Oryzias latipes: one gene and its partners. The protein of the gene in region 3 purifies or fractionates together with the protein of the main gene of each other region. This does not show direct contact. Links are inferred from orthologs where the notes say so. Each region holds a gene or a part of one and is shown on either strand. Other genes may lie near its edges. The genes, in order: trpc1, vcp, caveolin-1 and potassium voltage-gated channel subfamily A member 1-like.

Evidence for each region.
Region 1: the proteins of caveolin-1 (region 3) and trpc1 purify together in Homo sapiens (affinity purification with western blotting; 3 studies listed by BioGRID and IntAct, with this or other methods). This does not show direct contact. The link is inferred for Oryzias latipes from reciprocal best matches to the Homo sapiens genes CAV1 and TRPC1.
Region 2: the proteins of caveolin-1 (region 3) and vcp purify together in Homo sapiens (affinity purification with mass spectrometry; 5 studies listed by BioGRID and IntAct, with this or other methods). This does not show direct contact. The link is inferred for Oryzias latipes from reciprocal best matches to the Homo sapiens genes CAV1 and VCP.
Region 4: the proteins of caveolin-1 (region 3) and potassium voltage-gated channel subfamily A member 1-like purify together in Homo sapiens (affinity purification with western blotting, with the first as the bait; 3 studies listed by BioGRID). This does not show direct contact. The link is inferred for Oryzias latipes from reciprocal best matches to the Homo sapiens genes CAV1 and KCNA5.

What each region holds. Positions count from the first base shown.
Region 1 is NC_019878.2:19,045,326-19,049,921, forward strand, and holds the end of trpc1 (short transient receptor potential channel 1), read left to right. Parts: intron 1-639; coding exon 640-824; intron 825-1,476; coding exon 1,477-1,678; intron 1,679-1,898; coding exon 1,899-2,093; intron 2,094-2,172; coding exon 2,173-2,400; 3' UTR 2,401-2,611; downstream 2,612-4,596. Other genes in the region: pcolce2 (procollagen C-endopeptidase enhancer 2), read right to left, coding at 4,043-4,173, 4,481-4,596. UniProt on the Homo sapiens protein: Forms a receptor-activated non-selective calcium permeant cation channel. Forms a heteromeric ion channel with TRPC4 or TRPC5 that has reduced calcium permeability compared to the homomeric TRPC4 or TRPC5 channel.
Region 2 is NC_019867.2:13,582,023-13,587,028, reverse strand, and holds the end of vcp (transitional endoplasmic reticulum ATPase), read right to left. Parts: intron 4,314-5,006; coding exon 4,201-4,313; intron 3,999-4,200; coding exon 3,834-3,998; intron 3,731-3,833; coding exon 3,608-3,730; intron 3,526-3,607; coding exon 3,313-3,525; intron 3,214-3,312; coding exon 2,905-3,213; intron 2,715-2,904; coding exon 2,559-2,714; intron 2,447-2,558; coding exon 2,292-2,446; intron 2,080-2,291; coding exon 1,974-2,079; 3' UTR 1,512-1,973; downstream 1-1,511. Other genes in the region: alcohol dehydrogenase [NADP(+)] A-like, read left to right, coding at 1-162, 243-292, 378-527, 607-766, 1,120-1,185. UniProt on the Homo sapiens protein: Necessary for the fragmentation of Golgi stacks during mitosis and for their reassembly after mitosis. Involved in the formation of the transitional endoplasmic reticulum (tER).
Region 3 is NC_019864.2:2,997,127-3,003,583, forward strand, and holds the start of caveolin-1, read left to right. Parts: upstream 1-2,033; 5' UTR 2,034-2,261; coding exon 2,262-2,297; intron 2,298-2,996; coding exon 2,997-3,164; intron 3,165-6,457. UniProt on the Homo sapiens protein: May act as a scaffolding protein within caveolar membranes. Forms a stable heterooligomeric complex with CAV2 that targets to lipid rafts and drives caveolae formation. Mediates the recruitment of CAVIN proteins (CAVIN1/2/3/4) to the caveolae.
Region 4 is NC_019881.2:23,511,335-23,517,703, forward strand, and holds the start of potassium voltage-gated channel subfamily A member 1-like, read left to right. Parts: upstream 1-1,906; 5' UTR 1,907-2,653; coding exon 2,654-4,765; 3' UTR 4,766-5,165; intron 5,166-6,369. UniProt on the Homo sapiens protein: Voltage-gated potassium channel that mediates transmembrane potassium transport in excitable membranes. Forms tetrameric potassium-selective channels through which potassium ions pass in accordance with their electrochemical gradient.

The DNA of each region.
Region 1 (4,596 bases), on a different chromosome or scaffold from region 3:
GCTACATCTCTTTCTTTTGCAAAGATGTAGGGTTAACTTTTTTGGGCTGCTCCAAATGCATTTTTCATAGCATAAACTCAGTAAATCCCCCTTTAGTCCGCATTGCGTTCTGTTTGTACAGTAATTAACTAAGGCTATCTGTCAGGGTTGGCAAGCATGGAACAACCTCAGCTAGCTATTTACCAGCGGTAAAGGAGTACACTGAAGGGATTTACTCTGTTTGGAATCATCCTAACAGGCCGATCCTTCTTAAACAAGCTGCCTTGGTTTCAGTGCAAACATGCCAGTTGTCCTTCGCCCTGAGGTGCGGGCAGAGCAGCTGCACTAGACACTGTCTGTTTATGTTTTGTAAGGGCAGGCTTCGTGTTCGAGCATTTGTTTGCTCAGATCTATAAAAAGTGTTTTTTTCTTAATAGTCCATAAGGCTTTTTCAAGAAAACTTCTTAACTTTAGGTCTAATGCAGCCAGAATATGTTGGGGGTTTTTCCACTTTGCTGTGAGAGAAACAATGCTGAGGTAGCTTGAATGTAGAAATAATCTACAATCGGTAAAAACAGGACACTACTGTAAATTACTACTGTAAATACTTCTATAAAGGTTCAGTGGGCAAATGTCAGATTCTTTGTCAATGCCTTACAGATCTCCATGGGTCAGATGCTGCAGGATTTTGGAAAGTTTCTGGGCCTTTTCCTGCTGGTCCTATTCTCCTTCACCATTGGACTCACTCAGCTGTACGGAAAAGACCTAAAAGACCCACAAAAGAAAACAACCAAGGACTGCGAAGGCATCTTCTGCCAGCAACAGAGCAACGACGCATTCCACACGTATGATCAAACCTTTCTGCATCAGTGGTCAATGTCCAGAATGTTTCTTAACTGATGACAGACATGTTTCTTGTTTTTACTCCTAATCTGTATCAAAATTCAAATTTAAACACAATTAAAGTGTGTTTTAAAAAGAAACAGGAATAAAGCAAACATATGAAAAAAATACAGTTTAGCAGAGTATTGTCTTTTTTGAGAAACTAAAAATGTATTACAACCTGTAGAGAACAGATGTGTTGCACAAATGAATACAGTGACTATTTAAATGTCTTTAAACATATGGAAAATGCTCTGAAGGATGCGTTCTTTTTGTTGATGTTTACATTTAGGCAGAACATTTTTATCATCACTTATGTTTAGATGAAATGTTTTCTGTAAAGGAAGTGGAGGAAAGCTAGGAGGAGTTTCAGCAGCCTCTGCAGTGAATGCCTACCCTGCAAACAAAGCTAATATTCTTCTAAAAAACTGCACATTACTGCAGGATTGCAGCTGCTCGTTTATTAATTAAGCTTAGGGGAGTACCTGCAGCAATTTTTCTGTTGGATTGGAGGAAATCTATTTTGCTTTGAAAACCCCTTCTTTTTTATAAAACCAGAATTCTACTTTTTTTTGTGTGTGTGTTCACCAAAACCCTCGTTTACCTGTTTTCCAGGTTTATGGGGACCTGCTACGCCCTCTTCTGGTACATCTTCTCGCTGGCCCACGTTGCCCTCTTCGTCACCCGAATCAGCTACACAGAGGAGCTGAGGTCTTTTGTTGGTGCCTTGATCATAGGCACCTACAACATCGTGGTGGTTATTGTACTCACCAAGCTGCTGGTGGCCATGCTCCATAAGAGCTTCAGACAAATTGCTGTAAGTCTGCACGGATCACTAGTCTGACGTTTCTCTTCATGAGTAATTAAAGCCGAGTTCAGAGCAGGAACTGGTGGAGTTTTTTTTTGTTCCAAGTGTTCCTGAAATGTTGCACAGCTGCTAAAGCTTTTCTTTGACGTTAAAGAACTGCTGGAAATTAGATTTAAATAAAGATTACTTTTTGTTGCCACATTTCTTGACTTTTTGGTGCTTTTTGTAGAATCACGAGGACAAGGAGTGGAAGTTTGCTCGAGCTAAACTCTGGCTGAGCTACTTTGATGACAAGTGTACTATGCCTCCACCTTTCAACATCCTCCCTTCACCAAAGACTGTCTGCTACCTGGTGACCAGTTTGAGGAAGTGGATCTGCTCTCACACTCCAAAGGGCAAAATGAAGAGACAGAATAGCCTCAAAGTGAGAAAAATAAGATCCCCGGTCTTTTCTGCTTTCTGTCTTTTATGTGACCTACCTCCTTCCTGTTGTTTACCTCCAGGAGTGGAAGAACCTGAAGCAAAAGCGGGATGAGAACTACCAGAAGATCATGTGCTGCCTGGTTCACCGATACCTGACCTCCACAAGGCAGAAGATGCAGAGCACAGACCAGGCCACAGTGGAGAACCTGAACGACCTGCGCCAAGATTTGTCCAAATTTCGCAATGAGATGAGAGACCTGCTGGGCTTCAGGACCTCCAAGTATGCCATGTTCTATCCACGGAGCTAAAACCACAACATTTATTCGCTTCTCCCTCTCCTACCTTCATTTCGTGTTAATCTGGGATGTCAACATGTGCAGTTGCATAGGGAACTTCACTATATCAAACTTTAGAAAACTTTTAATCAGCAACCAAAGCCCCCAAAGTCAGACCTTTGTCTTTTTTGTAAATATATAAAGCCATTGTTTTCAACGGAATGAATAAAAATTTATGGAAATACTTGATCTTCTTTTAGTTTAATTGGTTAAAAACCTGGGAAGAATGTTCCAGGTCACGTCACCCTTAGCAAAAAGTTATTCACGTGAGGTTTATTCCATGAAATATAAGGACAGCATGGTATAGACCAGAAGTCTGCAACAGTCAGAGCCTCATGATTCTTTCCCCCTCCATTATGGCTCTCTAGTTTAAGACAAATAAAAAGTAACTGTAAAGTAATAAGTAGAAAGTAAAATAAGTAAAGTTAACTAACTCAAACTTTATTCACAAAAAGTTGAAAAACAATGTGTGATACTCCACCAGGCTACCGACTACATTACACATAATGCTCCAATCCATCAAGTGGTTCAACATATTGAACAAATTCAATGATTTTGAGTGATCCTTGTGGTTAAAAAAATACATTGTCACTAAATTAGAACTGATTTAATTTTGTGGCTACTACTGTGTTGTGGTCAATGAGAAATCAACCCGAATGGCTCTTTAAGTGTTAAAGGTTACAGACCCCTGGTGTAGAGCATGTACATGTGGTGTAGGAAGTATATTAATAACTGAATACTTCCTCAGACTTAATGTTTTGACATTTTAAATTTACAATATATAGAAAAAGCAATTATACTGCCTCACTTTTAATACAGAATAAGTATACTTGTAGTACACTTAAATAGACTGCTTTTCGCTAAGGGCAACCATGAAGAATCCCATTTATTCAAAGCAATTTCCACTTCTGGATGAACATAGTTAAACAGTGACACAAACAGGAAAATGTTCAAAGAATTTAATTCTGTCCAAGAAAAACAAATATAAATAATATATATAACCTTTTTTATATGAAAATATGTTTTTCCTTTAAAACAAGTGTGTTGTTCATTTTTGCAACCATTGAAGAAATAAATGTTTACATAAAATCTGAGAAATGATTTAAAGAAAAACAGGAAATATTGCACTGTAATCACCACATTTTAGACTTCCAACCCGGCCCATTGAAAAATGAACACTGGATTTCAACAGCAGGTTTTACTCCATTCAACAACTGCAATAATCTCAAATGGATTTTAATCTGATGTGTTAATCTGGGGACAGACATCATGCTTAGCATTACTCTTTAAATTAAAACAATTAAAAAAAAGTAAAATCATAATATTGAGTTGTTTTTCCTTCTGCTTACACTGTGAAAAATGTAGAAAAAAATGGATTTTTAAACAAACATTTCATCTGAATAGTCCCAGATTATTAGTAAATTGAAAACAAAAACTCTTTTAAAGAGAAGAAATGGTGCGTGTCTGTAGCAGCTCCACACACAGACTTGGTTTTGTTTATCCTGGCTTGTGTTTGTGCTGCTGAGACGGGGATTTGTTTTCCGCCGGATTGTTTCCATTTCCAGCTGCGCTCCGGGCAGACCACCTCGGAGGGGATCCTCACAGCTACAGGAGCTCAGCACTGCTTGTTTTTCAGGACATTGAGTCCTTTCTGGTTCTTTGTCTTGAAAGCCATAACAAAGTGCTGGGGGGCAATTTTCCCGCGGCCCTCCTCGTCAACCTGGCCCATGAAGATGTAGTTTAAGCCTGGTGAGGTCACACAAAACAAACCTGAATGCAGTGGCGGAACAGCAGAGACATTCAGGGAGGCAGAACGTGAGAAATTGCGCCTGGTTGGCATCTGTTAATGTATAAATGCATCCTATAGATTTTCATTGACTGTTCCAGCAGTGAGTTCTGCCGCTCACCTAGCAATCCGGGTATTCGGTTGGGCGTGACGACACAGTAAAGGAGGCAAACTCAGAGCCATTATTCAAAACAGTCAACCAGATGATAACCACTCTTTTGCATATCTTAATAAGCCGTAAAGGTTTACCTGCTCAGGCAGACTCACCTCTCCTTATAAATGGACACTTTTTGCACAGGATGATGATCTTGGTGCTCATGGTCTTCCCTGCTTGCTGGATCGCAAGGTTGCCCTCTTTGTACACGTTGATGATGGAGACAGTG
Region 2 (5,006 bases), on a different chromosome or scaffold from region 3:
GGAACCATCTGCTACTCTAACACGCACTACAGAGATACTTGGAAAGCCATGGAGAACCTGGTGGATAAAGGTCTTGTGAAGGCTATAGGATTGTCCAACTTCAATGCTAGGCAAATGGAGGAAATCATCCGTGTAGCAAAACACAAACCTGTGGTGAACCAGGTTGAACTATTTCTACATCTTTAATTAAATTACAATTCATTACAAAATGAGAACCTGAGAATTAAAGTCTTACATTACAGGTAGAATGCCACCCTTATCTGTCTCAAGCAGACCTTCTGTCACACTGTCAGTAAGTGAGACACAGAAGATCTTAACTTTTCTTCTAAGACTATTCAAAACTCTTCATAAACCGCACTCTTTTCTTCTGTTTTCAGGTCTTTGGCAATTTGTGTGACGGCCTACAGTCCTCTGGGGAGTGGAGACAGACCCTGGGCATCTCCAGATGAACCCAGTCTACTGGAGGATCCTAAACTGGGGGTAATCGCTCAAAGATACCAGAAATCACCTGCTCAGGTGATCCTCAGGTATGACCAACCATCTTTACAACTCACATACGCCTTCAGATCCAACAGAAAACTAAAACGTAATCATCTCACACCTTAGGTGGCACATTCAGAGGGGCGTGGCATGCATCCCCAAAAGTGTTACGCTCTCCAGAATCCAGCAGAACCTGAACGTGTTTGATTTCAACTTGTCGCAAGAGGACATGAAGCTGATCAATTCTTTCAGCTGCAAGAGGCGTTTCATCGTTCCGACAGCAGTGGTGAGAACTCAATGTATGAACCTATGTGCTCTCCCCCACTCTTAATGGGGGGGGGGGGGGGAATTCAAGTCACTTAATGGTCAAATGAAGTATTGCACCACAACTCTATTGGGTAAAGCTCCAATTACTGTAGGCAAAAAAGCTCAGGCTGTGAATTTACTAAGGGCCTGGTTAGAAATTTAGGATGTATGGAGAAATGTTAGTTCAGATCATGAAGTTATTGGGAATTCTAGAAAGAAAGAAAAAAAACAGATACCCAAAAAAAGTGTAAACCATGTATACCATTTTTTAAATGAATTGTTTTTTCTTGCAATTTGCATTTTCTGACCAAAACATTTCCAACTCTTTTACAGAAGGATGGCAAGACAGTGTGGAGAGATGCAGAACATCCACATTTCCCTTTCCACGACGCCTACTGAGTCTACACTCAAGACCAACTAACTTGTTGGGAATAAATGCCAACAAGGACACACTTTAGGAGTGACACTGTTGACTGACAGAACTGCTTTCCAGTCAATACATTTTCATTTTTTCCTTTAGCAGCATTAAAACACTGAAGCTTAAACGAGACCTTCTGTAGTTAAGTGGAAAAAATAAAAACTCTTGCCAACACCCATCTTTTGCATCATTAGCTAGGATTGTGTACAGTTTGCATGCAAAGATGTGGGTTTAAATAAAAATAATTAGGGGGTTAGATGCCATAAGGAATCTTTGCCCTTAAAGAGGAAACACAAAAAACAAAATATTTCAATTTCTTCAGATTTTATTTTCAACAACATAACCTTGACAAATCTGTAATACATTATATGCTACTGTTTATTTTAAAAAAGAAAGGAGAAATATCAGCAATGTGTTTTTTTTGTCTTTCCAAGTCTCGCACATATTCCAATCAGCATAGCCATTTGTGTTGAGAAATACAGAGAATGAGGCCACTCAAAAAAAAAAAAAAGAAAAAAAAAAGAAACCCAGTCACCCAGCCACCCCACTGAGAAGAAACTCTGCGTCTGACTCACCTTATATTTCCAAAATCCCCAACTCAGAATGAAGTCAGGGTAAGCCAATAAGCTACATGCTTTCTCAATATGGGGGGGGGGAGAATAAAAAAAAAAAAAAACATGAAAGAAGCACAAAGTCCTAAAAATGTGGAATCTGGTGAGAATTTGTACAGGTGTGATCCCAGTACTGGCCACTGAGGGGCAGTCTGCTTTTATCCGTAAAGATCATCATCATTATCTTCATTGAACACCGGACCAGTTCCCGCTCCGCCTGCACCATGACTTGGACCACTTCCTCCAGGAGTACTAGAGGGAAACCTGAAAGGCAAGAAAACTTATTACCTACTTTTGTGAAACCCAACAATTTTCTAATATTGTAAACAGATAATACAATCCTTCTGAGGCCATTGTCGTATTAGGATGCCCCCCTAAACAAAATGCAGCTTTGGCTGCTGTTGACTTATTTGCTCATTAGAAGTACTTCAGCATCTTCCACATTGGAAAAACATTCCAATTTCACAGCTACAGACCTGAAGCTTCCAAATCCACGGCTCTGCTGCAGTGTCTGAGCAAACATCTCATATTTGCGAATATCATTGTCACTGACAGAACGGCGAGCAAATCTCATTGCTTCTTCAAAGTGGTCTTTCCTGATTTCTGGAACAGGATCGTCCTCTTCAACTTCCTGTGAGGGCATGACGGCACAAAAAAACAGGATGGAAATGGTTAGGTCCACAAAGAATCCCAAGCAGTGCAGATGTTCATTCCAGGATAAGCAGCATTTGAACAGTCCTGACCATAGCAGATGGGTTGGTCTGCCTTTCCCTCTCTCTGCGGATCTCACTCTCAATGCTCTCTCTGATGGCCAGTTTGCACGCCCGCTGGCAGATCTCGGTAAGATCTGCTCCAGAGAAGCCGTTGGTCATCTTAGCCAGGAAGTCCAAGTCCACATCCTAAATTTTGTAAAACTATTAGTTTATTTTTTCCAAGTGGAGAGAACATTTGTGCAATAATACCAAAGTTGCTTTTACATTGGATTTGAAAACAAATGCCACAGTTGGTGGACCTTCAGAAAAATCTACACAACTTTTGTTACACAGATAAAGCTTCATACATCCTGGTGGTGGGAGGAACAACTGTCACCTTGCTGATGGGACTCTTGCGGAGGTTGGCCTTCAGGATGCTGATCCTGCTCTTCTCATCGGGCAAGGGGATGTAGATGAGCTGATCGAGGCGGCCGGGTCTCAGAATGGCAGGGTCAATGATGTCTGGTCTGTTTGTGGCTCCGATGATGAAGACATTCTTCTTGCTCGACATTCCATCCATTTCCGTCAGGATCTGGTTGATCACGCGGTCAGCTGCTCCACCGCCATCACCAACGTTGCCGCCACGAGCCTTAGCTATGGAGTCAAGCTCGTCAAAGAAGAGAACACATGGAGCAGCCTGACGAGCCTGGAGACAAGACAAAAACCAAACAGGTTTATTTCGTTTTACAACTTTATGTATGAATTCTTTAAAAAAAAAAAAAAAGGGGGGGGGGGGGTCGCTTACCTTGTCAAATATCTCCCTGACGTTGGCCTCAGACTCTCCAAACCACATGGTGAGCAGCTCAGGTCCTTTGATGGAGATGAAGTTTGCCTGGCATTCGTTGGCAATTGCTTTGGCCAGCAGAGTCTTACCACAACCAGGGGGACCATAGAAAAGTACACCTTTGGAAGGGGTCATGCCAAACTTCAGGAACTTGTCTGGATGCTCCACTGGGTACTGAATTAAGGGAAGGAGGATGCACATTTACCACAGTCCCAGACATTTCAATCCCGGCACTTTCATATGATGTTACACATACCTGGACCAACTCCTGCAGCTCTCTCTTAACATCTTCCAGACCTCCAATATCATCCCAGGTGATGTTGGGAACTTCAACAATCGTCTCCCTCAGTGCTGATGGGTTACTCTGGCTCAGAGCCCACTGCAAGACAGCACTGATCGGGTTAGCATTGATCCAGCCCAGTGCTAGCTGTGTGTACTAATGGACTACTATATGATTTCAAACGATTCCATTACAGGTTTACCTTGAAGTCATCCATGGTAACAGCAAGTGAGTTCATGACTTCAGCATCGATGGTCTCGTCCTCAAGGTCGATCAGGTCCATCTTCTTTCTAATGGCCTGGAGAGCAGCCTCAGAGCAGAGAGCAGCCAGATCTGCACCTACATGACCATGGGTCTCATTGGCAACCTGCAAAAGACAATCAAATTCACTGTAGAAACCAAAGTTACACCACTATGTAAAAAAAACCTGCGATAATGATTAATTACATTTTAACTTAAAATATTCACAAACTAATAGAAAAAAGAAATTTATCATTTATCAAGAAAAAGGCATCTACTTGAACATGTTGTATTTTGGACAAAAATAAAGGACTTTTGAAGGCACAAACCTGTTCCAAGTCCACATCATCAGCCAGTTTCATGTTCTTGGTGTGAATCTGCAGAATCTCCAATCTGCCGGTTGCATCAGGGATGCCAATATCCACTTCTCTGTCAAAACGGCCTACAATGGAAAGGTGTGAAAATAAAATTGGATCAATGAAAATGAAGAAGTTTACCATCTATCTAAAAACCTAAAATTTATAAGATCATCAACTTAAAAACTTCTAACTTAATTCATTAAATTTGTTGAATTTCTTTACCAGGCAAAACATTGACCTCCATTTTAAAAATTGGAATTCTCTTTTTTTTCTTTAAATCAGAATATGAAAAGTTATTTAATTGAAAATTTATAAATTTGAATTGAATCAAAATATATTTATTTGAATTGAAATAGACTTTTTCATCCTTACTGGGATGACAATAGTTTCTAAAGTGCCAGCAAGAAATTTTGTTTCAACATGTTAGCAGCTTAACTTGCAATGCATTTTCAAACAAAATGAACAAGCCACAGGATTTCTTAAGAAAACCTGGTTTGGAAAAACAATTTGTTTCATTAACAAGAAAAAGTTTCTTATTAAAATGAAACTTAAAAAAACCCAAACATTTAGGAATAGAGTGCAACTTAAATTCTATGGTTGAAAGTAGGTCTGATGTTCAAAAGTCTTAACTGCACAGGATCATTTTAAGTCAACATTAGGGCTGCACGATATGAAGAAAACTCGCGATATGCGATATCAGTGATTAATATTGCGATAACGATATAATTTGCGGTATATAAACAATTAGCAAAACAACCAAAAATATTATTCCCATT
Region 3 (6,457 bases):
AAAAAGCACTGACCGAACGGATTTAAAAAAATTGAGTGAGCAGGCCCTTAATAATAATCATAACAATAAAAGCACATTTAGAAGATAGATGGTTGGACCAACACACACTCAGCGTGAAGCTGAGTGTGTGTTGGTCCAACCAGCAAACGTTTAGCATGGTGAAATCTGCTATAGCTGTTGATGGGACTCCAGCTGTCATTGAACAGCAAAATCAGCGTGAAGCTGCAGGAGACTATCTTCTAAATGAGCTCCACTGCTCCTAGCATGTGTCTGTTAGCAGCCGGACACACGGATTTAGCACTGATGTCATCGCCCCGTCTCCCCTCTGGAAATGCTCTTTCGAAATGAATAATGCGACAATGTTTGCAGGGTGGATGCTAAAATGAAAATGCAATCCCCTCTTTGCATTTTCGTTTTTATTCTGACACAGAATAAGTTGTGTTGAAGATGGAAAGAAAAAACATTTTGGTGGATTGCTTTTTTATTTTCATTTTGAGTCAAAAATGCAGCTTCATTTTGAAAATGAAAAAGCATTTCTGGTTCTGACTTTTATTTTTAATTATTCTACAGAATCACTTCCATAAGTTTCTACAGAGCGGCATAAGTTCATTAAAAATTCAACTCTGAGCTGTGGGCTGGACTGTTGGTGTGGCGCATTTCTGCCTAATTTCCCGTCATCCATCCATGACACCCCCGACCTAACATCATCGATGCAACAAAAATGGTGAGCAATACTGGAGCTATCCATTCATACAGTTTAGATCCAGACTCCAGCTCAGACCAGGAAAACAAAGACGTACGTCTACAGGCTCAAAGGGTTGGAATGGGTACAATTGGATGCATCAGAATGGAGCAGAGCATGTTTGTGGCCCGCCCAACGTATTTTCTATGTAACAAATATGCTCTTTTTTTAAACTGCAATTTTTATTCTGTGTCCCTTATTCACAGTTATTTGAATTAAGAAATACTCAGTGATGCAATTTCAATATTAGTTTTATTTGTCCTCCATCATCAGAAAAATGCCACAAAACAACACCAAAAAATACACTGTTTATTGGAGTTGGTCTCTAAGTTCCACTCCATAGTGAGACTGTAGCATTGTTACAGGTATCAGGGCAAATTAACCCTTGTGCTATCTTAGATGACCCCACCCTTACATTGACCTGTTCTCCCTACCATGACAAAGGTGGATAAAGGTGGAAAGATTTCATGTAATCCATGGACACCAGTGAAGATCACAAATCATTGAAGAAAAAAGGTTCAGAGCACTGTCTAGTGGGTCTAGATGACCCAAATCCCAATGGTAACGTACCTAGGATAGCACATTAAAGGAGTAGACCTGCTGCGGCTGTTACCCTCATGGGCACTGACAGTAGAGTTTAGGGGTGGAGCAAAGGAATCCCAGTCACACAGAACAACCCAGCAGTAAGGCCCCAAGCCAAATTCTGCCACAGGTATCAATAATTATGCAGATATCAGTCTGCTTACAGAAGATAACATATTTTTTTAGAAACAGAAAAGATCATCTTAAAGGTACACTACAGCTACTTGTAATGAAATAAGTGCTCCGCATTTCACCCTGACTAATTATTGTGCACAAGAAGCCTATCAAAAAAGGGTAACACGTAGAAGAAAAAGACCATTCCATAAAATCCATACATTGCTTCTGTTCCACTGATGAGTGAGCTGCTGCCAAGAAGAGGTGAGAGGAAACTATCAGGGATGCCGGGTGCTTTACTTGAAGCTGACAAGAAAAGGAAAAGCATTGACACCTGCTCTCAAATGTTATTACTAATTCTGCATTTTCCCCCTCTTGATCTGTTTGCTTGTTTGTTTTCTTTTCTCTTGGAACAATCGATCGGTTTGGGACTCAGGTATGGCAGGTTTTCCCACTTCGACATTCAGTAATCCCATCTCACCCTCCTCCCTCTGAACAAGTGCCGTCTTATTCTGCCTTCATTCCTGAACGAAGCAGGGTTTTTTCCGTGCGTGTCACAGCAGCCCTTTGGTGTGAGATCACGTCCTTCTCTGCAGCCCAAGCGGCTGTTGTGCCGAGCGCGCACACGCAGGTGGCTGTGCAGACGCAGCGGAGCTTTCCCCTGCGCGCTCAGACTTTCCGCAGTTTTGTCTCACTCGGCGCCAAGGCAGCTCAGGGTTGATTTCATCATCAGGCGCGCGGTAGTCCGCGCTCACGCCTCCCACTTCGCTTCCCAGAGTGATCTGTGTTTGGACGGAGGACCCCATTTGCTCCTGAGGACAGAATGACAGGGGAGCGCACTGACGGAGACGCTGACGAGGTACAGTATGGCTCTCCCCTTTTAAATTAAATTATTTCCCCTTTTTGATATTTGCTTGTTGTTGTTTTATTCTGTTAAACTAGTTATTCTAGTATTTTTAGTTTCCTGCTGTGGCAAGCGCTGCGCTTTAGGAAAAAGCCAATTAACGCAACCAAATCCTGAGCTTTACGCGTCAGATTGCTCTGCTTCATCCAGGAAGAGACTTTAAAAGCGTTTAAAAGTTGGATTTTCAACCTCATTTTTCCACAAATGATCAAAATCATAAAAGCTTTGAGAGGATTCACTTTTACAACATATACTTGCATGTATGAATATTCATATTTTACAAATGTCACCTCTGGTAAAAAAAAAAAAAAAAAAAAAAAAAGATTAGTAGATGATATTCTGCTTGGATGGTGAGATGAAACACTGTTGCTTTTTCACAGAAAATGTTTTGAAGCGTTGCCATGCGTCCACATCCATGTGGAGCCAACTGTATGATAGGTCAGGACAGGAGCACTGTGTGGGTGGTGAGGACCCCTTGCGGCTGAGTGCAGGGGTGTGGTGCTGCGTGTTCAGTGCGCTTAAACCCATCCCTGTTCTCGAGGCAGGCCGGTGACTTGCACTGCAGTCTCGCTCCCTCTCGGCGCGCTGCGCACCACTCCGCCTCCACCACCTCCTCCTCTTCCTCACTTGTTTGCCTCCCTCGGATCTCCACAGGAGTTTCTGCAGTCGCCCTTCATCCGAAAGCAGGGGAACATATACAAGCCAAACAACAAAGACATGGACAACGACAGCGTAAACGAGAAGACGATGGATGATGTCCACACCAAAGAGATAGATCTAGTCAACCGGGACCCTAAACAAATAAACGACGACGTTGTCAAGGTGAGTCAGACCTGCTAATTTCGAACTTTTCAAGTTACTTTTAAAGTTGCAGCTGCAGAATCTTTCAAGACTTTTTGTGACAACAAAAAATAACAGTTGAGAGACTCCTGTGTCACAGACATTTCGGCCACTTTTTGCTTTTAAAGTCCAAGAATGTGATCAAAAACTGTCCAAGTGTTAAAATCTGGTTTGGTGTTTTCTGCGCCTGTGCGTCATCGTGCGCTCCCGGGGCTCAGACGCTGCTGCGCGCTGCCTCTCCAGAGCGGCCTCTTACTTTCTTTCCCCCTATTAGGAAGGAACTTTGCAGATGGAGTTGTGCTTTGCGCAGGCTGCACAGCCCATCTGCACGCACGGATTAAAAACGTGACCATCGGAACAAAGGAAACAGTACGAATTTCCTGTTTTTGGGACTCACGTTTCCCACAGTGGTTGCCTTGAAACCCTGAATTCTTTCCATAAGGGACATGCGCACAGAGGTTATGAGAGGGAGAGCTGGAAGCCACCTGAGGCGCTATGATACTGGAGGGGAGCGTCAGCTGTCTGTCACTCTCCACTCCAGCTGAGGCGGGCTTTCACATCAGAGCGGGGTCAAACAGCCCCCTGCATGAGAAGGATGGGTCAGGCCTCTGAAATGCCTGAACTGCGCTGTTAAAACAGGGAAACACCCAAGTAGCTGCTTAGTCAGAGGGGGATCCCTCACCACTCCCAGTGTTCTGATCTCCCCCCTTTCACCTGTCAGCATTCCAGCCAGAGGATTTAAATCTGAAGACATGTATGAATCGCTAAACCAACCGCCAAACTCATAAACAGTTCTTCCTCTCATGTTATTTCTGGAATTCCTCCACAAAATGATTCGATTTTATCAGATTCAGCTGATATTTCACTCCACGGGAACATTATCTGCAGTGTAACGTACAAATGTTGCCCCTTGGAAACACCCAGTCACTAGCATGAGACAAAGTGGGCACTAAATGCAGAAGTGAGTGAATTCAATAATGACCAACACATCCTTTCTTATTACACTGCACAGACTTGGCAAAGCGCTTAAGATTTCCTGTTTCTGTCTCTTCTTCACCGCTCTGCATCCTCCTGCTCTCAGTTGTGACGGTGAGTCAGACTCTCCCTGCGGTCAGGGCAGATTGAGGCTTTATGATCAAGTCAACTGACCGCCCTCAAAGTTAGTTTTCATCACATGGTCATGGACTGTAAACAAGAAACTTGTGTAATGAATTCCAGTTTCCATGATAACTTCTGAAAAGGTTTAAGCTATTCTTAAATCTGTGCTACGTTTAAGACCCACTCCATTGAAAATGGTGTTTTTGTTGTTTTTAACATGTTCTTGTGGTAATTTTCTGATGATGGAGGACTTATATAAAGAAAATGAAACTCAAAAACGCCATTTCTGAGTGTGTCTTTACTGAAATTGTTGTGATTCAGGAGCATAGAAAAAACTCTGAAAAAGATCGCATTGGTTGCATAGAAAATATGCTGGGTGTGCCACAAGCTCCCCGCTTTGCTCCATTCTGATGCATCCACTTGTAAACAGATCCATTAATGGTTTGTTTTTTCTGGTTTGAGCTGATATTTGGCTCAAAACTGCACGGCTGGATAGATGGCACAGATCAGAGTGGGTCTATAAGTAGAGCAGTCGTGTCTTTTCCGTTGATGGAAGCAGCTGGTTGGTATGAAAGAGCTAAATCCAGTCCGAACAGGGAATCCCTTCTGCGGTCATCCACTGTGTAATCAGCCACGCCGTCACACAGCTCCACACACATATGACAAGCAGCACACATCCTGAGTGCATGGATGCTTTGACTCATACATGTGAGAAAACCCACGGCTCTCTTGCAGCTGCAACCACAGCTGGCCTTAATCATCTGGCCACATGAAACAATGGATATTCCCTCTCAGAGCCTTTTTTATTCTTTCCCTTCCTTATGTTGTGGGCCTTTTTTATGTGCAGAGAGTGGAGGTCAAATGCCTGCACAGGACGTTTTTGAAGCTGCGTGGAGAAGCTTGAGTTCCAGCAGCAGACTCAGGTGTACCGAGGACAAACTAAAGAGGATGAACATCGTTTATTCATAGTGTTTGGTATAAACTTCACTTTTTAGCTTCAAACTTCCCTTTCCTTGGAGAATCATTCACATGGATGCCATTTAGTTTAACCCTTGTGCTATCCTAGGCACGTTAATATTGGGAGTTGGGTCATCATCTGGGGCGGCCGTGGTGCACAGTAGGGCGGTCGACCCATGAACATAAGATTGCAGGTTCGATTCCCGCCTTGCACGCCCATGTGTCGAAGTGTCCTTGGGCAAGACACTGAACCCCACCTTGCCTCTGGTGGGAGGTTGGTGCCAGTGTTTGGCAGCGGAGCCGCCATCAGTGGGTGAATGTGTGTGAATGTGTGTGTGCATGGGTGAATGGGACTGTGACTGTAAAGCGCTTTGGGCCTTCGTAAGAAGGTAGAAAGCGCTATATAAGTATACGCCATTTACCATTTACCATCTAGACCCACTAGACAGTGCTCTGAACCTTTTTTCTTCAATGATTTGTGATCTTCACTGGTGTCCATGGATTACATGAAATCTTTCCACCTTTATCCACCTTTGTCATGGTAGGGAGAACACGTCAATGTAAGGGGGGGGGTCATCTAAGATAGCACAAGGGATAAGAAAGGGGAGTGGACACATGAAAAAAAATCCAATTTTGCATATTGACCAATGTTTTCAATGCCGGTCATGTTAATTCGTATCTGTAACCAAACCGCAGACTCTCTTCCCCCGAAACTCCAGCAGAAGTCTGTTGATGCACCGCACTCTTCTGTCTTGTCAAGCATGTCTGACAGCCTGAAGATAAAACTCTGGAAATAGCACTTGGCCCTATTTACTCAATATTACGGTTGCTTTGCCAACTGGTCACATGTCGACCCCAAGACTGCATTGTTTCATATCAGGCCTCCCAATAGTCACCAGAGGTTCATACTGAGAATCAGCTGCTGATGGGATAAATGTGCTGCTGAGTGCAATCCAGAATGGATCCGAGGTCTGCAGGAAAAGCTTCAGGGACTTTTAGAAGTCTGTTTCAGTCAAATGATCCAACATTTTGGGCAAAGTGGGAGCTAGATTGAAAAAGATTGTTTTTTTGAAGTCATTATTAACAGAGTTGTAAAAAGCTTCATCTGCAGAACTGCATACAAACCCATTATGGTGTTTACTGCACGGGAAGTTGGTGTCCTCGGGTAACCTAGAGGATTTCCTCATTATGCTGCTCGGCATCACCAACCAACAGCGGCC
Region 4 (6,369 bases), on a different chromosome or scaffold from region 3:
GGGGGTCATGATGAACTCAGGTATGTCCTTTGATTGACATCACAGCTGTTTTCAAACCCACAATCAGTCTGTCTGCCTATTTAAAGGGAGACAAATAGTGAAAAGGTGTGAACCAGACTGAACATGGACAACAGAAAGCCATGGAGAGAATTGTCCCAGGACATTAGAAACACAATTATAGACAAACATGGTAAAGGTAAAGGCTATAAAACCATCTCTAAGCAGCTTGAAGTTCCTGTGAGCACAGTGGCACATATTATTCAGAAGTTTAAGACCCACGGGACAGTAGCCAACCTCCCTTGGCGATGGAAGAGGAACATTGATGACAAATTGAGGAGACGGATAGTTGGAACTGTCTCCAAAGAGCCCAGAACAACCTCCAAAGACATTAAAGGTGAACTCCTAGATCAAGGTACATCAGTGTCAGATCGCACCATTCGTGGTTGTTTGAGTGGACTTTGTGGGAGACGACCAAGGAGGACACCACTGTTGAAAGCAAACCATCAAAAAGCCAGACTAGAATTTGCAAAAATGCATGTAGACAAGCCACAAAGCTTCTGGGAAAATGTCCTTTGGACAGATGAGACCAAACTGGAGCTTTTTGGTAAGAAACATCAGCTCTATGTTGGTTGACTCAAAAATGAAGCATCCAACCAAAAGAACACTGTCCCTACTGTGAAACATGGAGGAGGCTCAGTTCTGTTTTGGGGCTGCTTTGCTGCATCTGCCACAGGATGTCTTGAAGTTGTGAAGGTCAAATGAGATCTCCAGATTATCAAGGCATTCTGGGTAGAAATGTGCTGCCTAGTGTCAGAAAGCTTGGTCTCAGTCGCAGGTCATGGGTCTTCCAACAGGACAACCATCCAAAACACACAGCCAGAAACCCCCAAGAATGGCTCAGAGAAAAGCGTTGGACTATTCTGAAGTGGATTCTATGAGCCCAGATCTGAATCCCATTGAACATCAGTGGAAGGAGCTGAAACATGCTATTTGGAGAACCGTCAAACCTGAGACAACTGGAGCAGTTTGCTCATGAGGAGGGGGCCAGAATACCTGTGGACAGGTGCAGAAGGCTCATTGACAAATACAGAAACCGTTTAGTTGCAGTGATTGTCTCAAAAGGTTGTGCAACAAAATATGAAGTTATGGTTACCATCATTTTTGTCCAGCCCTATTTCATTAGTTTGTTTTTTTTAAATAATTCTGTTCATCAAAAACTCAAAAGTAATGGTTGATTCTGATTTTTCAATTTTCAATACATATTAATTTATTGTTCCCTTTGAACCTTTCAAGTCATTTCAGTGAACATTGTGGACTTCCTTTCTTTAACTGAGGGGTACCAACTATTTTGTCCACCACTGTATGTGATACAGTTGCAGTGCTAAACATTGTAATCATTAAATAGACTGCATTAGATCGTATTATTACGATGAAAGACACATTAATATCCAGGTACAGTTTTTTAAGTCATACTCCTAAAAAAAAAAGTTTTCCAATAAAATATCTGGATACGTATCGTATCGCCGCTGTCCCCCTTCAGGGGTCGCCACAGAAAATCCGCTTTTACTGATTTACTCAGAGTTTGTAGCCGCTTTCAAGCGGTGGGGGTGTGGCCTTCTAAGAAGCTCCCTCCTGATTGGTGAGAGTGGTTGTCATAGAAACAATGACTCTGACCCATTTGGATCAAGAAAGTCAATTCAGTTGCCATTTTTGTCTGAATCACGTCCGTGTCGTGCAGAAATGGTGACTGAATCGACCCCCTCTGGTTGGAGCTGGTTGGAGCTTCATGGATGACGTCACTTAGTCCAGAACGGCGTAGGCCGAGCAGAACTGCAAACGTTTGGAGTTTCTGGAGCATTGTCATGGGACGAGTCTCTGCTCGTTTGGTCCACAAAAACCACAGGAATTCTGGAGGAATGTGACGTCATGAGCTTGGAGGTGGAAACGCCGCCAGCTCCAAGCTGAGGAGCATCAGTGACGACTGGAAACTTTCAGCGTTCATCATCTGAAACCTCAACTTGATTGTTTGTTTGTTTTTTTCATCACCAAAAGCTGACAGTTTGTTTCCAGCGGTGTGTGATGGCTCGATGACGTCACAGAAGCACGAGGAGAGTCGTGTTTCCTTCAGGGTCTTTGACCAGCGCGGCTGAAAGGAACAAAGAAGATCCTGGAGAAAAGGCTCCTTCAAAGGACAGAGTGCCGCCCGGGGGCCGCCCCCCCCCCCCCCACAGGAGAGGACTCGGACACAAAGGCAGAGAAGGCGAGGAGCTGGTCACGTGGGAGGACGGCTTTGGGAGAGACAAGGAGAGAGGGGGGGGGGGGGCATTCTTTGAAAAGGACATTCAAAGCGTGAAGAAGAGCTGGAGTCCAGAGTCTTCATCAATCTCCCACATAATCCCCGCCCACAAATCAGAGACTCCTGCCGCTCTGCAGAAACTATGTCCTAGAAAACAGAACTAAAACGTCAGAGGATGAAAAGGGAACTGGGAACGCTCTGAAAACAGATCAGAGGACTCGACCTCTGAGACCGGTGGGTGTGAAGGGTTCCCTGGAGAACCCAGAGAACATATTGGTTCCGCATGGAGATATTTGCACAAATGTTCCTTAGAAGAGTTCACGTCCCTGTGTTTTTGGAGGGGGGGGGTGTCTCTGAATGCTGACTGACAGCACAGAAATGCAACCGCCGTGCGCGCGCTTTGTGCCACAAACGGAGCGCGTCTCCGCTGCTGGAGAGAGGGAGGGAGCGCATCTCTCTCTCCTCTCAGACGTGTTTCGGTTTTCCGCGGCGGCTGAGCGCGCGAGCCTCACTCCTGACGTCAGGAGTGATCATCGCGGCTGCTCTCTAATCCGGGTCTGCGTCTCTTCCCGCGGTCTGGATGTTGACATCTCTCCCAGCTGCGGCGCTCCGGAGCGGCGGCGTTCCACGCATGCCCCCGCGCGCGGAGCAGCCGTGATCCAGAGCTCAGCTCCGCGCGCACAGCCCCCCCCCCCCCCCCCCCCCCTGTATCCGGACTCAAACCTGCGGGATGTTCGGGCTCCACGCGCCCCCTCAGCTTCTGCTTCAGTGACCGTGGATGGCAGCGGCATGGAGATCGCCTTGGTGAGCTTTGAAAACGGCGGCGCCAAAGGCGGCGGCGGGAATGCCGAGGAGAACTGCCGGCACGCGCTGGAGGTCCCTCAACCGGGCTTCGTCCAAACGGCGCTGGGAGAGGAGCGCGGGAAGGAGCTGAACACCCGCGGGAGCCCCCGGCAGCAGCTGAGCCCCTGGAAGATCAACGACATGAACACCACGCTGAGCTGCAGCGAGAACGCCATGGATGCGCTTTTACGCGCGGACCACAGCCCCCACCTGTTCGACGAGGACCTGCTGGACATGGACGTGGACGCGGAGAGCAACGAGCGGGTGCTCATCAACATCGCCGGGCTGAGGTACGAAACCCAGCTGGGCACTCTGAACCAGTTCCCGGAAACGCTGCTGGGAGACCCGGCCAAGAGGATCAAGTACTTCGACCCGCTCCGGAACGAGTACTTCTTCGACCGGAACCGGCCCAGTTTCGACGGGATTCTGTACTTTTATCAGTCCGGGGGGAAGATCCGCAGACCCGTCAACGTGTCCATCGACGTGTTCGCCGACGAGATCCGGTTCTACCAGCTGGGAGAAGAGGCCATGGAGCGGTTCCGCGAGGACGAGGGCTTCATCAAGGAGGAGGAGAAGCCGCTGCCCCAGAACGAGTTCCAGAAGCAGGTCTGGCTCATCTTCGAGTACCCGGAGAGTTCGAGTCCGGCGCGGGGCATCGCCATCGTGTCCGTGATCGTCATCACCATTTCCATCATCACCTTCTGCCTGGAGACGCTGCCGGAGTTCCGGGACGAGCGCGAGCTGGCCGTGAGCGTCCGGCCGGACAACGGCACGGCGCCGCGGCCCTCCCTCACCTTCTCGGACCCGTTCTTCATCGTCGAGACCACCTGCGTCATCTGGTTCACCTTCGAGCTGTTCGTGCGCTTCTTCGCGTGTCCCAGCAAGTCGGAGTTCTCCAAGACCATCATGAACATCATCGACATCATGTCCATCATGCCTTACTTCATCACGGTGGGCACGGAGCTGGCGGAGCAGCAGGGCCAGGAGCACCAGAACGGCCAGCAGGCCATGTCTCTGGCCATCCTGAGGGTCATCCGCCTGGTCCGGGTCTTCCGGATCTTCAAGCTGTCCCGCCACTCCAAGGGGCTGCAGATCCTGGGCCAGACTCTGAAAGCCAGCATGCGCGAACTGGGGCTGCTCATCTTCTTCCTCTTCATCGGAGTCATCCTCTTCTCCAGCGCCGTGTACTTCGCCGAGGCGGACGAGCCCGAGTCCCACTTCTCCAGCATCCCCGACGCCTTCTGGTGGGCCGTGGTTACCATGACGACGGTGGGCTACGGGGACATGCGGCCGGTGACGGTCGGGGGGAAGATCGTGGGCTCGCTGTGCGCCATCGCGGGGGTTCTGACCATCGCGCTGCCGGTTCCGGTCATCGTGTCCAACTTCAACTACTTCTACCACCGCGAGACCGACCAGGACCAGTCCTCCCTGAAGGACGAGCCCGCAAGCGGCCGCGCCAGCCCCGAGCCGCGGCGCCGGGGCAGCCGGGCCTCCGCCAAGTCCCAGGACGCGGAGAAGAACGAGGGGGGCGACGGGGGGGAGAAGAACATGAAGGCGAACAGCAGCGTGGACTTCAAGAAGTCCCTGTACGCCTTCTGCCTGGACACGCGCGAGACAGACCTGTAGACCCGGACCCGCCCGAGCCCGCAGAACCGCCCCCCAGCCTCACCCCCCTCCCCCGGGCTGCACAGGCTCAAAGGTCTCAACCCTCAACCTCAACTGTCCGCGCGTGCTCGATTAAGGAAAAAACTTGCGCGTGAGCTAGTGGGAAACGGGAGTGAGGCGCGCGCGCAGCCGTCAGGATATGGGATCATTTCTGGACACGCAGAGGATTAACGGAATCTGAACATGAACCTCGAGTGGGTCTCACGCTCACGCGCACAGACTTCAGACGAAAACAGAGGATCTTTTTTCACGGATTTTCCTTTTCCTGTTTGAAACTTTCAAATCGAACTTTTCTGACAAACTGAGTGGAAGTACGACAGGAGCGGGGAGCACGTGCACGGAGGAGGCGCGCACACATCAGGTCAGTGTCAAGCGTGCGCGCATGTTTATGGCAGCTGAGAGCTGCGTTCTCAGCTTCAGACTCGGTTCAAGTCGGACTCGTCCGGAACAAGTCCGACCTGATCTACGTCACAACCTCCTGAAACAGAAAAACGATCATTTTAAAAAGACACATTTCAGTCACATTCTTGGTGGGAAAAACGTTTTTCCTTCACTTATTTATGAAAGTTTTCTATGATCCAAACGTTAAATTGATCTTTTCTCTTTTTAGTCTTTTTATTTTTTAAATGTTCAAATAGTTGAAAACAAATTTTTACTAAAGCTATTCATGTTTTATTTGAGGAATAAAAATGATTACAGTTCGATCTATTTTCAATATTTTGTCTGATTTCTGCTCATTGATGCAAATGAAGGAGCAGTTATTCCTTTATGGACATGTATGTACATCATTTTTAAATGAAAGAAAAACATTTTTGACTCAAAACTTTACTTCCATCAATCACTTTTCTAGACAGGAAATCATGTTTTTTCATGTTCTTTAAAGAATTTGAGTTGATTTTGCAGCAAAACTTGTCCTCATGAAGGGATCCCTGATTTCTGATGACGGCGCCATCTGAAGTCTGGTTTTCAAGGCTTTTGACTGTTTGACCTCCTGTTGTTGTTCTGGTGCATAAACCCCCGTTTCTTTAAATGTTCATTCTCTGTCAAATATCTGCTGACGCTTTAAATGTTCTTTTGGACAGATTTTCACATCTCCCTAAAGTTTGGAAGCAGAAGAGAGAAAAACTCATCTGACCATTAAAGCGCAGTGGAGCCGCCATGAATGCATGAATCCAGCGTGTTTGACACTTTTAGCAGGATCTTCGTAACATTAGAGGACTTGTATCGTGGGTGTGGTTTGTATGGTGGGTGTGGTTTGTATCGTGGGTGTGGTTTGTATGGTGGGTGTGGTTTGTATGGTGGGTGTGGTTTGTATCGTGGGTGTGGTTTGTATGGTGGGTGTGGTTTGCATGGTGGGTGTGGTTTGTATGGTGGGTGTGGTTTGTATGGTGGGTGTGGTTTGTATCGTGGGTGTGGTTTGTATGGTGGGTGTGGTTTGCATGGTGGGTGTGGTTTGTATGGTGGGTGTGGTTTGTATTTGTTGAATGAACATTTTTTGGTTAAAGGAACTAAACTTGGATGTTTGACTGAATTTCAAACAAGCTTTAAGCTGCGTTCACACTCAG